Alligator mississippiensis: one gene and its partner. The protein of the gene in region 1 interacts with the protein of each later gene in a pairwise test. Links are inferred from orthologs where the notes say so. Each region holds a gene or a part of one and is shown on either strand. Other genes may lie near its edges.

Region 1 (7,249 bases):
ATGTAATATGATAATTATATTTCCTTTTTTGAAGTGTGTCACCTACTTTACAGTGAGAGAAAATGAAACCAGGCTTAAAGTCTTCAGTTCCCATGCTAAAAATCAGATCCATGAAGTCAATGGACTTCCATACGAGTACAAGGGTCTACCTCTGTAGATCCAATTGCTGGACTGTGACCTACTAGACTTAACTTCTTCCCACTGACCCCACCTTTTAAATGTCATGGGATGCCATGAACAGCTGATGAACATGCCACCTTCTAGGTCAATCTCCAAGTTCAGAGATGACACATACCCCATCTTTATTAAGTGTATTACTGTAGAGCCTAAGAGCCCCTAGTCGTGGTGCTATTATCCTAGCCACTGTGCAGACAGAAGATGAAAAGGATGTCCCTAAAAAGAGTATCCAAGCATCAGGCAAGAGACAATAGCTAGGTACAAAAAACAGTAAGACATTCTGGATAGACATACATGGGGGTGGAGGGTAAGGAATGGAGTGGTCTAGGAAGTCAAGAAAGACACTGCAGCAGTGAGATGAGGCTGGACAAGAAATTGCTCTGGGTAGACAAGAGAGAAGCTGTTTCTTGGTCCTGTTAAGAAACAATCAACTCAATGTAGACAGTCTGTATGTACTAAAGAGCCTAGAAAGTGTTCCAAGTTGCAGATGACACGGAGGTGCTAACTTCAAAAACTAAAGTGAGGTCCTGCTCAGTTGCAGCTGCCTTTAAGATTGTTATGGCAAATGAGGACTTTCAAAATAAAAAAAGGTGTCCCTTTGGTGCATAATTTCAGTATTCAAATTATAACATTAACAGTGGCTACTGTCAGGCTTAGGCAGAAGGGAATTAACCAAATTCAAATAACAACCAGAAAAGTAACCAAAAAACTGATTTAAAATACACATGAGGAAATGTGTGCCAGCAACTGAAAGTGTATTTGATTTCCTTCATTATCGACCAGCTGTGCTAATGACACACACTAAAGGCCCATGTGGGTTCTTTTTTCTAAGAAGACTTTAATGAGTTGTCTCTGGGGACTCTGGTTTTAAAGTTTAAATTGTATGAAGACAAAGTAAAGAGTGATGGATGCTTTTGAATGCCAATGACTATCAGGAGTCTTCCTCGTATTTTGTCATGTGTAGACCTCCTACCAGCAGCTATTCCCAGGATAAGTCGTACATAGACTGTTTATACAATTTTTATTATTATTAAGGAACACAAGATTATCAAAAAAGTAAAGTTTTCAGAAGTCTAGTCAGTCCCTTGTGGCCAGATTTTTAAAGGCATTTAGACAGCTCCCTCTCAAGCCATACCTTTAAAAATAAATCTGGCCCTTGTCTTTCTGTTCATTCTTTTATTTCCCTCAACTCAGCCACTAACAGTTCTGCTTCCATAGCAATTCATTTTCCACAGTGCTACAATACTCAGTTTCAAAAACCACATGGAGACTTATACTTGTCTCTTATTTATTCATTTCTAAAACATTTTTAAAACAACTGTCTACACAGAAAAAATGTAAGGTGTTTATATTGGTCTTGTCTTTGATCATAGATCTCGTATATTAAATTTAGATTGTGGACAAAATATCAATTAGCAGTATCACTTAAAGTTTTCCCTGTATTAAATAAATTGTTCCAAACACAGGTAATCTCCCAAGATCAAATGCACCTAATTAATATGAACAATACTTAACTGGATCAGCACTCCAGTTTTGTTGCTGCCTAATTTGGTTTCCAACAAATTTCAGAAAGGAAACTCTTCCTTGTAAACAATAACTTCCAAAAGGGCATGATTTGGCTGTCTATTTAGGAACGATGACAAAAACACTGTTGAAGCTTAAGGTTGCCCTAAGCCAGGACTTCTCAACCTTCTTTAGACTTGTGGCACCCCTATCTAGAAGGTCTCTCAGGTCTATGCAGATGTGAGGCAGCCCTCAGAGAAAACCAGCTCTTAATTTTCACTCTTTTTTTTTTTTTGACCTACAGAAAAATAATAGAGTGGTTTTTTTCTTCTGCGAAGAGCTCAGAAGGACCATGACTATGGATTTCCATTTGAAATCTTGGGGTTTATCTTACAAATCATTTGTAAACCTACCAGTTGTAAACTTAAAGGAGCTAATACTATGTGGCACTCCTGAAAGGATCTGAAGGCAACCCGGAGTGCTGTGGCAGGCTCTCTGGGTGAGAATTGCCACCCTCAGCTGCAATGGGCTCCAAAACACAGACGTGCACCCCGCCTCCCTGCGCACAACCGTCTGCCGGGGCTGTACTCGAGATAGTCGAAGGGCACCAAGCCACTCAGGGTTGTTAGACCCCCTGCTTCAAAGCCTGTCTCCCCTCAGCAGAAACCTTCTTTTGAGGAGACACGAAACCTTCTGGAAACCTGAAGCCCCCCCAAGTGCTTTTCAGCACGTCCATGCCACGGGAGCTGGACACGCCTGACAGGGCCGGGGAGCTGCGGGGAGCTGTCGGAGACCAGTGACTCGACTCTTTCTCCCCCAGCCGGACTCAGCAGACGAAGACCCCCCCCCGGCTCCCCCAGGCCAAGGCAACCCCAACTCAGGAAGCCACCTTGGCAGGGCCGCTCCCAAGGAAGCCGAACCCGGGCGAGGGGAAGAGGCGCCGGCCACGCACCGCGCCGGCTTTGCAGGAGGAGGGGCGGCCCCAGCCGGGAGAGCTCAGCGAGGCGGCCGCAGCGGAGCCCCCTGCCCCCGGGGCGGCCGCGGGGCTGGCGCTGGCGCTGGGGCAGACGCAGGAGGGCCCCAGCTCAGGCGGAGCTGGACGCCGGCCGAGCCCCGCCCCCGCGCCGGGCCCGCAGCACCCCCATGCCGGGCGGGCAGGCGGGCTCGCAGCCGAGGCGGGCGGGGAAGGGGCCTGAGTCCGCCGGCGCCTCCAGGGAGGGGAGGGGCCGGGCCGGGCCGGGCCGGGCCGGGCCTCGCGCGCCTCTTACCCGCTGCAGGATCCGCCTGAACATGGTGCCGGTGCTGGATCCCGCCGGGCAGGGGACGGGACGCCGCGCCGCGCCGCGCCACGCCGCCCACGGGGCAGCAGCGCCCGGCCCGGCCCGGCCCGGCCCAGCTCCGCCCGCGCCCTGACAGCGGCGCCGCCCGGCAGGCGGAGCCCGGGCACAGCGGGCGGGGCCTGGCGGCGGGGCGTGGCGTGGCGCTGCCCCCGCTCGGCTCCGAGTCCCGCGCGCAGCGCGCCCGGGCCGTCCTGGCCAGCCCTCTCTTGGCCCTGCCTCACTGCCGGATAGTAACCGGGAGGAGGCTCCGGCCGTGGGCCCTGGGGCGGGCGGGCGGGCGGGGCGTTTCCCGGCCCCTTCCCGCTCGCAGGTCTGGGCGGTTTCACTGGGCGCTGCCTCAGCGCACTGCCTGCACAGCTGTGCCCAGCGCTCCGGCTGTTACGTTTCTTATTTGCCCCACAAGTCAGCGATACGCCTTTAGTGGCCCCATCACCGATGCGGCCTTACAGCTTTTACGTGGTGGGCCGAGGCCCACGCTTGCCCAGTGACACATCAAAAGGCCTGGTCAACCTCCTCCTGGCCCTTGCCAAGCTTGCCCTGACCACAGTGAGATCGGCCACGCGCCCCCTGGAAGCGCCAGCCGTGAAACTGGACACGCACCTCCAGTTTTGCTGCTGGCTCAGCGATCGGCCACTGGGGGTCGTCATCCGGCCCCTCACCCTTTGGCAATCTGGCGCCCCCCAGACTCGGGAGGCATCAGTCCCCTGTGCCTGACCAGGAAGGGCATCAGGCCGCAGGACCCCCTGGGATTGCAGGGTCATTTTCCTGCCTTTGGTGTGCTTATGTCTCTGGGGACTGTGTCACTGGGCAGTGCCCCCTGGCTCCTTGGGCTAATTGGAGGGCAGTGGGCACTGGCACTAGCGCCTTCCCACCTTGACAGGGGTGACTGGTGCCTCCAGAGCGTGGGACAGACAATTTGTGGGCGAGCCAAAAGCCCCGTATATCCACTCCTATACTTCTGTGCCACAGCTTAATCCCCCCCAGCACCAAGACATGGCTGGCCCGCACGGCAAAAAAATTGCCCCATCCTAAGCGGTGCTGAGTTGGTGGCCAATCTGGGGGGGCACGTGCCCCACCTACCAGTCGCTTGTGCACCTTGATGTGCTCATTTTGAACCTCTGACTTTCACGCCCATCCCTGTTTTATTCAGTTGTCCCCAGTAATCACTCAATGGGCCCCCAAATTAAGGGAGGCATTCAGCTTTACATGGTGGACATTGGCCCACGTTTCCACTGCAATGCAACTAGCCCCATGTCACACCCTGGCAGAGAGTGGAGGCTGAAAGGGAGAGTGAGCAGGGCAACCAGGGCTCCCCACTCTCCCACCCTGTCCAGTTCGCCTCCAGCATTGAAGGCCTAGGACTACATTAAGATTTCTAGTGATTCTCAACCAGGTTGCTGTGAGATATTTTTATGGGTGCAAACTCCTACATGGGAGCCTCAAAATAAACCCAGAGATTTCAAGCAAGAGTCTGTTGTGTCACAAACTTCCTGATCTGTTGTGGTCTTTCAGAGTTCTTTCCAACCAAAGAAACTGCTCGATCATTTTTCCATAGTTAGGAGATAAGAGAAAGCTAAGAGCTGGCATTTTCTGAGGGGAGGAGGAGGGGCCTCAGGTTTAAGAAGGCTGAGAACCACTGCCTTAGCTATTTTGCCACCCCACCCTTTAATCAACAGACTAATAGCTCCTAATGAAAGAGACTGCAGTAACCTTATTTCATAGTATTAGAATCTGGCTAACTAGTATTAATAATAATATAGTTGTCAAAGCAGGTTTTTTCTTTTCCCATGTTCATTATTTTAAAACGTTGCTGAATTTCAAACTCTTGATTCATTATTTCCTTTACTTTGAATTAATATGTTTATATTTATTCCAGATTTTTGTCAGCATGCACCCCCCCCTCCGCTCTTTGCTTACCCAGTGGTGTCTCATCTCTAAAGCAGCAAATGAAAAAGGAAAGAAATGTAATTTAATTGTTTCCTTACTTTCCGCTCAATACTTTAGAAGGAATTTACGGAGATAAGCTATGCAAGAAAAATAAGCAGTAATTTGGTGGCACACTTCTTAGTTTTAAAATAAAATCCTTCAGAATCTCTTATTGCAGATGGCTAATTGGTCTGTATTTGAAACACTGAAATTTGCAATGAAAGCTGAGTTGTAGTCCTTTAACTATAGCTTTTGCTACTGATGAAAGTTATTATGCCTTGTTCTGTACACAAAGGTGCTGTTTTACTAGTCAGGCGCTCTGCAACTGATAAAAATTCCTGGGTAATAATATCACAGACGGGAGCATGAGGGAAGCTTAGAATATTCTTTATGTAGTTCTTGTCTTGTTTGCTTCTCCTGGGGCTTAGTCCCGCTTATGGCTAAAAACACTTACCTCCCATTGACTTCAAAGGAACATTGAGCCTTTTCGGAACTTCTTCAGTGGTAAAAAGCCTGGGTTCAAATTCTCAGGGCAACATGGGGGTTTTCCTAAAGCACTGCTCTCAAATAAAGTGTTGTGAAGCAGCAGGTTAAAAAAATCTCACCCAAACTAAACCTTGATCAGAGAAAGGAAAGCAAATCAAATTTGAATGTATCTTTAATTCCAACACTTTCTCCCTGTGTGCTCTTTCTCCCTGTGTTGCAATCTGTCTGCTCAATCCTGCAATCAGCTTATCAAACTTAATTTTCTACTAGCAACATTATTTGCCAAATGGTGTTCTCTGCGTACATTGCCTTGACAGATCCAGGGTGACTGGAGTCACATGCCTCTCTTGGCAAACCACCAAACCTTCACTAGCAGTTGTAAACCATTTGAGAGTACTTGCTCTGCCCACCTTTGAAAACTATAAAAACGAGGCAGAAGAGTTTTGTTCTTATTCCATCTCTCACGCCATCTCCTTCTTGATGAATAGATTCTTTAGAATTTTCTTAATCCAATCCTAATTTTAATATCCTATATGCCAACCCTTACAGCCCCCAGTCTTTATAAAGACAAACGTTCATTGACTATACGGGGGAAATGCATGATCTGGCTTAACATTACATGGACAATTTTATTTTACTTGTTCTGCTTTCTTCCATCTCATTACCAATATTTCTGACTTACAGTAATGTCATCTTCTTGTAATGCACTTTGTCTTTTACCCTGGATGCAGATATCTCTGTACACTGAGGCAGAAGGGGCAAAATAACTGCCTGGAATGACCTGAAATAATCCCTCTCCCTTGTGTCTGATTGGCTTATCTGTCAATTTATTTTCAAGATTAGCCAATAGGCAGTTCTTTAGCCTGGAATAAGGGCCACAGCTGCAAAAGAATGCGCTTATAAACTACATTTTTCCATTATATGGATGAGACAAGATGGTCTGTAAAAGAGAATTTGAAGTAACTCCTCACTGAATGCTCTAAATAAGGAACAAAGTTGCTCTGAAAGATATTGATGTTAATGTGTTAAAGACCATTTTAAGCATAAAACATGATAAAGCTGCATGAGCAGTTGCACATTCATATAAAAATATTTTTATCTCAATAATTTATCTAGAACTTTAACCAAAAATGAAATTTTGCGTGAGCAATTGCTCCATTAACTGAGCACTCAGCTGCAAATATGTTGCAAAATATCACCAGATCTTGAAAGCATTCAAAAAAGATCTTTTCAGCCCCATTTCACTTTGATCTTTGCTCTTTAACATACATAAAACCACATACACACACACTTTTTCTACAGATGTTAAGGCTGAAAGAGATAATTAATCTGACCCATACAATACAATAGAGGCTATAGTTTTTTCCCATTTCATTCCAAAAATGATGGCTTCTATAGCCAAAAAATAAACAGTAACAGAAAAACCCTGTATTTATTGATGCTAAGACAAAAAATGAATAGAATGTTGTTGGCAGGGTGTCAGCTAAATAGCAATGCAAGGCAGGATAAGTTATTCAATTAAAAAAATGCTTTTTCTGTAGTAAAACAGTCATTTTAGATTGAAAACAAGAAAAAGGGATGCAAGTGATCAAATTCTATAATAAAACTGTATTTTACTAGTAATTAAGTTAAGCATAACAAAGACTAGAGTGCCAGCTGTCATAGTTAAGACCCTCTTATATTTAAAGGCCAAAGGTTATAAAATTCACATGTTCACTCAGATTGTCTTGATATTTGGTGTGTCTTGTGGCTACTATACCAAATTTGGGCAAGGGGAGATAGACTATCACCTGCCTGGAAAAAAAAAAGCATTCCTT
Region 2 (7,127 bases), on another chromosome or scaffold:
TCATTACAGCAGGCAGCGAAGCACCATGGGCCCATCCCGGAAGTGAGGTCCTGCCCCACAATGGCCTCAGCCCTTCCTTCATCTGTGAGCTCCCTGGTACCAGGCTGCTTGACTCTCCCAGCACTGAGCAGCATCCCGGGGTGGCCCCTAGGCACAACCACACCTAATGAGAAGCTAGGAAGGATCCAGGATCCCAGCTGGGACAGACGCATGCTGTCCCCATGCTGCTCACACCTGCTAAATCCAGGGTGTCCAGCACTGGGATCTGATGGGCTAACACCCACCAATCAGCAGCAAGCAGCTTCAAGGAGCCCAGGTCCATCCAGCTTCCTTCGCTCACCCCGGGTCTCCCTGCTGGCTAGGGAACCAATTCCTAGTAGGTCAAAGCTCACTCCGCCAGCCCCCAGCTGCAGCCCAGACCTCCGAAAGGACCCGCTTCTGGGTGCAACGCAGCTGCTGTGAACTGAGCCACCGCTACTACGAACGCACCTGACCAGCCAGGTCTGATGAGCAAAATCAGGAGCCACCAGGCAATGAGAAGTGCAGCCAACTGCACCTCCTCCCCTACCATCCACCCCCTTCCGTTCCACAAGGGGCTGCGGGAGCGCCAAGGCAGCGCCAGCCCAGCAGCTGAGCGGGGGTCAAGGTCATTCCTGGAGCCAGGCTCTCACACACCTGACCTCTGTGGGCGAGGAGAGACGGTGTCCCTTGCTGCCACCCAGAGCAAGTTAAACCTGTGTGGGCTGAGGCAGCAGATCCCCACAGCAAGTGAACTCCTAGCACAATGGAAGGCAGGTGCAGGGCTGGCTAGACTCCCCCACCCCCGACGGCCCTGGCTCTGGGAGGCTGCAGCAGGCCCGTCTAAGCTGTGCTGGCAGAGAAGGGGCATCTCCCGAGAGAGCCCGAGGTGGGTTGCAACAGCCTGCCTGGGTTAACTGCTTTCCTGTTGCCAGCGAGACTTTTCCTCTGTCCCAATCGCCTGCGGCACCAACAGCCACCACCAGAACAGCGCACAGGGCTCCGGCCTGCCTGGGGCTCCCAACATTGCCACCAGCCAGCGAGCAAGCGCCTAAACACCCCAAACCGCAGGTATGGGTGCAGCTACTCGCACGGCCCTTCCAATGCCCAAGCCACTAGCGTCCATGGGCATTCTTGGAGCGAGGGTTACCACGAGATGATCTACTGAGGTCCCTTCTGACCCTAACATGTATGAATCTGAGAGCAGAGAAGCTGGGGCCTCAGCTGGATCCGGGCGATATCCTGCAATGGGACAAGAGAAGTGGGGCTCTTCGCTCTGGGAGATGGGCCCCGGTCCCACCCCCAAGTCCCTGGTGAATCTAGGCAGGTTCCCCAGATATATGCTTGGCTTCCTCCCCTCTTAACAGAGTAGCAGGAAGGCCCCGAGGCCCCACCCCAGCCTCAGCGGGGGCCAGGCTCATCTTCATTAGCTTCCAGGTACTGTCCTAGCAGCAGCCCCCACGGCAGCTGCTGCTCGCACTCAAGCTCCGTGGCGCTCCCCCCTCACCAGCCTCCCCCAGCCCCAGCAGCCCAGCCGCTGCCCACAGGTTGCTTAACGCCACATGAAGGAGTCACCATGGCCAGGTAGCAACTCTCCTGCTTCACCCACACGTCGTTGGGCCTCCGATTCCATTGACTCCAGCCTGGGGGTCCATCCACGCCCTGAGGAACAGCTGCAGGGACCCGCCGCTGGGGCCCCGTTCAGGCAGAGCAAGGGCAAGATCCTCTGCTCCCCAGCATGTCTTGCCTGCTGCCCTGGGGATGCTGCTTCCCAGCACCAGGCTGTTCCTCACCACTGCCACAAGCCCGAACAAGTAGCAATTTGGTCAAATCCAGGCCTATCTCCAGAAGTCGTCAGAGCCGATGTCACGGGAGGAACCAGAGTTGTGCATGGCTTTGTCAGGCTTCGTGACCAGGGATCGGATCTGGCATCGCCAGCTTGAGCAGCAGGCTCCAGACGCCCCACCAGAGCACCCCCCAGAGCCTGCATGAGGCCCCGGACCCAGGCGCCATCCAGTGGGGCCGGCAGCAAGGCCGTGGGAGCAAATCCGTGCACCCACCACCAAGAAGGGAAACGCGAGCTGCGAAGGAAGCCTGGGGGTTGAGCCCATTTCTGCACCCCCTAAAAGAAGAGCGAGGCACAGAAGCACCCAGAGGGGAGGGCACCAGATAGGGCCGGGTCCAACGTTTCCAGAGGGAGATGCTCCGACCCCCGCAGTGTTATCTCCAGGACGCCCGGTGCGGCTCCAGGAGGCCCAGCAGCAGCTACCCACTGCCTGCAGGGGGGTCCCCCGGGAGGGGCTCACCTGAGACCCGGGAACAGAGCCCCCAAATCCTCACTTCACCTGCGAGCGCCGCTGGCCTCTCGCCCACAGCCCTCTGAGCCCCTGATGGAGGGAAGGGGAAAAGGCACTGCCTGCTCCAGCTGGACCAGAAGTGGGGCCCTGCCCAGCCGGGGAATGGAGAGAAGCCACTTCCTGGCACAAACCAGGCATGGGGGGCACAAGTAGGGGTGCAGGGACCCCTGAAGCCTTGACCCCTGGGGGACAACCCCTGATTTGGGGGAGGGGGGCATGGGAAGGGAGGGCAAGGGCATCCAAGCCCTGGAAAGGAGGGGGGGGGCAATGCCTCCTGAGCTGGGGGGAGGAGGGAATGTCCCGTGCGGGGGGGCAGTGCCCTCTGAACTGGGGGGAGAGGGAATGATTCGTGCGGAGAGGGGCACTGCCCCCTGAGCTGGGGGAGCAATGACCCGGGGGGGTGGCACTGCCCCTTGAGCTGGGGGGAATAATGATCCGTAGGTTCACGTGCCCCCACCTCAGCCCCGCCCCCTCTTACCCCCGGGCCCAGGCCCCTTAGCCCCCCCCCCCAGGCCCCGGCCCAGACCCCACCCCCAGAAAACCCCCTCCCCCCCGCCCCAATACCGGAGGCGGCAGCGGCGCAGACTCCCCCGTCGCGGCCCCAGCGCCGAGCACACAAACAGCTGCTCAACCAAACCCTCCTCCGCCGGGCGGGGATAAGGGGCGGCGCAGCCAATAAGCGCCGGGCACCTGAAGGCTGGCACCGCCTCCTCCAGGCCTGCCGACCAATGGCGCTCTGCGTCAGACCACCACGGTCCGGCGCACTAATGAGCGGTGAGAACTGGCGGGACGGGCAGCGGGATCGGACCAATGGCGAACGGGGAGAGGGTGAGAGCGGTTGGCCAATAGAAAGGGTAGGCGTCGTGAAGGGGTGGATCTTAGGTTAAGTGACGGAAGAGGAGGCCAATGGGAGCGGCTGTGACTTCGGGGGCTTCATCAACAACAAATAAGGTGACCTAAATGGGCGGCACTCAATAGGACACTGACCAATCAGTTCTCGGGATGCCTTCGCCGCTGCCCAATCACAAGGCAAAAGGGCACCGCTTCGACCACTCAAAGAGCGAGTAGGAGTTGATTGACAGGGGACCCAAACTCCCCCCCTTGTTGGGCGGGCCCAAGGCCGCCCAGGCCTCTTTTAGCGCCAATCAGAGACGGGCTGGAGCATGATGGACAGGCGTGTGAGGGAGGGCCATGAGCGGGTGCCCCCGCGAGAATTTTAACCTTTAACCTCAATTGTATTACTGCTAATTAGCTCAGCTGAGGCTGAAGCTGACTCCAGCCCTGGGGGCGGGGCCAAGTGGGGGCATAGGGAGTTGGCCTGGACCACAGGGGCGTGGCCCACAGGGAAAGGGCGGGGCTAAATTTTGGGCGGGACTTGTGGACGGGGCGTGGTCTGTTGCCAAGAGGCGGGGCTCGTGGGTAGGGGCGTGACCTATACAAGGGGAACTGCAATTTGGGCGGGGCTTACGGGGTGGGGCGGGGCCTATGTCCAGAGTGCCGGTGGACAGGGGCGGGGCACGTGGGTAAGGGACCGGGCTTAAAGGCCAGGAGTAGGAAGCAGGCCCGAGCCCTGGAGGCCCCAGCACAGCCAGGTCTGGGGTGCGGCAGTCCCAGGCCAGGGTCCTGGGCCCAGCCCCAAAGACGCACCCCTGGCCCAGGAGCTTGGGGTGCTGCCAGGGCCCAGGGGCTCGGTCTGGCAGCCACGCTCCTGCCTGGCTGAGTCAGCCCCAGAAGCCGTATATGGAGCCTGCGCAGCCTCCAGTCCCCTATACAAGCAGGTGTCTGCTGCCCTGGGGCCTTGGGCCGCTTTCTCCGGCCTGGAGGGGGGCAAGGAGCTGCAGTGGGGGCGTATCCTTGTGAGGAACACAGGACTTCTCCCATGTCCTCGGCTCTGGGCTCACTGCAGCCTTGTAGGGGCAAGGGGGACGGGTCTCACTCCTGTCTCCCACTCCAAACCCCAGCTCTTGACCCCAGTTCTGACTTCAGACCCCCCCTCCCTACACCCAGTGCCCTGGGGGGATGGATGTGGGTTGGCCCTGTGCTCTAGGTGACCAGCCACCCGCATTCCCGAGAGCTGAAGACCCAAGGGCATTTGAAGCCCAGGTCTGATCACTTCCACGGGAACTGCTGCTAGGCCTCGGTGACCTCCCTGGAGTGGCTCCCGGAAAGCCCGCAGCACGGTGGAGCCCCAAGGCCCTGGCTAACACTGCAGCCAGGGCAAGGAGCAGCACCTGGGCTTCAGCCTCTGCAAATAAACCCTTGGTTGCGGGCAGGGCTAAAACGCAGAAAATCTTTTAATGATCCGTGAACTCGGTACAGAAGACGCGACGCTTGGTATGAAAACTCGGCAAGACAGAGTCAGAGGCAAAACTACTCGACAGGGCTCATCTGCCTTAAAAAAAGAGCTTCGTTTACAAAAAAGGCCAAGGTGCTTTTTCTAATCAACTCTGTACAAACTGCTTTAAAACCCGCCCCCCCACCACGCTGTGCACATGCTGCCCCGCGAGGCGCCTTGTGCTCCCAGCTGCCGCCAGCAGTCCCATCCCAGCTGCTGCCGATCCCTCCAGTAGCTCTGAGGACCAGGGGGCCGGAGCTTTGTGTTGGGAATCAGCCCTCCTGCTGGCGCCAGGTGCGCACTGATGCTGGTCCTTAGCTCTGGCAGGTTCCCATTGGATCTGGAGCTCAGTCCGGGCCCTGCCTTTCTTGCTCAGCAAGGGGTCAGAGAAAGGGCTCTGTTCCCTGGAGAGAGGGAAGCACCAAGAGGCCAGCTCCAGGGGAAGGATCACGTGCCCAGCAAGGGAGATGTGGCTTCTGGCCCACGCTTGAGCAGCTAGCAAGGAGAAACAGTTACTCCAGCTGGGGCTGCTCCCCACCTCTTCCCTTATTTGCTATAGCAGGGCACGGACAAGCCCCCTGGATGTGGTGCTCACAGCAGCCCCTGCCCCTCGCTCCAATCTGAGTTCATGAGGCCAGCAGCCTCTGGGCACAGAAGCTGTGAGCTTCACGTGTATGGGGGGGCACCCCACCCCCTGCCTTTGCCATGGAGGCAGCCAGACCCAGCACTGAGGCCACCCCCCTGGGTCCAGTGCAGATATACAGGGAGGGACCGATCCTGCCAGAGGAAGGCGGAGGCTGGGCAGGAGCCCTAGGGGCCCAGCTGCTGGTGCTGGCAGCGGGATCCGTTCCTTGCTGGGTCCATGGCAGTTCCTGCCTGTCACTGCGGAGCAATTGCTGCGGCTGGGGGGAACCCAGTGAAAGGCCCTTGGGACGAGGGGGGCAGATCCTGGGAAAGGCGACAGGAGAGGAGCCCTGCTGCCAGCATCAGAGCCTGATCCACGCCGAGGGCAAGGACCTGCACCCAGGGTGGGAGCTGGTCAGGCCCCGGCCCCTCTGGGCCCCACAGTCAGTTCAGAGCTGGGCAGCAAGGGGCAGGGAGAAAGGCTCCGGTGAGGCTGGGCATTGGCTCCCTGCCCCGGGGCGGCCTCACAGGCGCAGGTGTGGCACGGCTTTGGTGACATCCCGGAAGAAGGGGTGGCCCAGCGCTGACTTGGCCGAGATGCGCTTGTTGGGGTCGTAGTGCAGCATTTGCTGGGGAAGAGAGGGGGGAGGCGGGTTAGGCCAGGCAACCGAGGGAGCCCAGCTGGGTTGCACTCTCCTTCTCCACCACCCCAAAATGCTAAGAGCCAGAGCTGGCACGTGAGCTCCCCCAGCCCCGGTTTCTCCTGCTGTTCCTCCTGCCTGTTTGCTCCCAGCACAGAGGGGACTAGAAAGTTAGTTTCCTTCTGGGCAAGCCAGGCACCAGCTCTGACCCTGCTCTCCCAGAGCCTCGAACCTTGGGCCCAGTAGCGGACTACTCACAGCCAAGAGCTTCCTGCCCTCCTCGTCCAGCGGGGGCACCACCTTGCTGAAGTCCTGCCGGGCCCACTTGGGGAAGCTGGGCTTGTAGTCAGGCATGGAGGTGACTCCAGGCCACACAGCCTCATCCGGGGTGCCCAGCGTGCGGAAGATGCGGAACAGTTGGTCGATCTCGGAGTCACCAGGGAACAGGGCTCGGCGGGTGATCTGGGAGGGGCAGAAGAAAACCATGGGGGGCACCTGGGGGCCAGGTAGGAGGTCTAGGTGCTTGACGAGCCACTTAGACTCAATGCCTTCCCTGGAGGAAATCTGCTGAGCACCGGACACTGGGCTCTGCGCAGGGGTTAGGGTGGCAGGCTCGCGGGGGGCTGAACTGGGACTGGCCGGGTGGGGGGGGCCTGGCTGCCGAGGATAACACCAGGTCCCAGAAAGGCTGTGCCCAGATGGAGCCGAATCCCATGGGAAGCATCTCCCCCCCTCGCAATGTGACATGGACCCCATTCCATGTGACCCTCTCTGCCAGCACCCGGTCCCAGGACACCCCCTGCCCTGGGGAGGAGGAAATACCAGGCTGGCACGCTGCGGCCTGCACCCCACCCCAGTCCACAAGGTCCCTTTCTTCCCTGGGCCCTGCTGGGCGTCAGCAGCCCTTTGCGTGGCCGGTTGTGACGTCTCTGCTGGCCCAGCACAGCCCCGGGGCCTAGCTCTGCAGCTCCAGCTGGGGGGGAGGGAAGGGGGGCATGGGGGCCGCGCCAGGGACTTGGCTCCGAGCCAGCTTGCACTGGGAGCTGCCCTGCCCTGCTCATATTAAGGCTCATCTTCCCTCCCGCCATTCTTGCCTGCCACGGAGTGGGACCCCCGCACCCCCCACAACGGCCACGCACCATCTCAGCAAAG

Evidence for each region. The genes of interacting proteins can lie anywhere in the genome.
Region 2: the proteins of EEA1 (region 1) and RAB5B interact in binary tests that used the Homo sapiens proteins (3 or more experiments, as listed by UniProt). The link is inferred for Alligator mississippiensis from reciprocal best matches to the Homo sapiens genes EEA1 and RAB5B.

What each region holds. Positions count from the first base shown.
Region 1 is NC_081827.1:87,635,695-87,642,943, forward strand, and holds the start of EEA1 (early endosome antigen 1), read right to left. Parts: upstream 3,067-7,249; 5' UTR 2,973-3,066; coding exon 2,949-2,972; intron 1-2,948. UniProt on the Homo sapiens protein: Binds phospholipid vesicles containing phosphatidylinositol 3-phosphate and participates in endosomal trafficking.
Region 2 is NC_081838.1:6,932,713-6,939,839, reverse strand, and holds the start of RAB5B (ras-related protein Rab-5B), read right to left. Parts: upstream 3,044-7,127; 5' UTR 2,940-3,043; intron 2,776-2,939; exon of another isoform or gene 2,325-2,775; intron 1,495-2,324; exon of another isoform or gene 1-1,494. Other genes in the region: CDK2 (cyclin-dependent kinase 2), read right to left, coding at 5,859-5,963, 6,234-6,437, 7,115-7,127. UniProt on the Homo sapiens protein: The small GTPases Rab are key regulators of intracellular membrane trafficking, from the formation of transport vesicles to their fusion with membranes.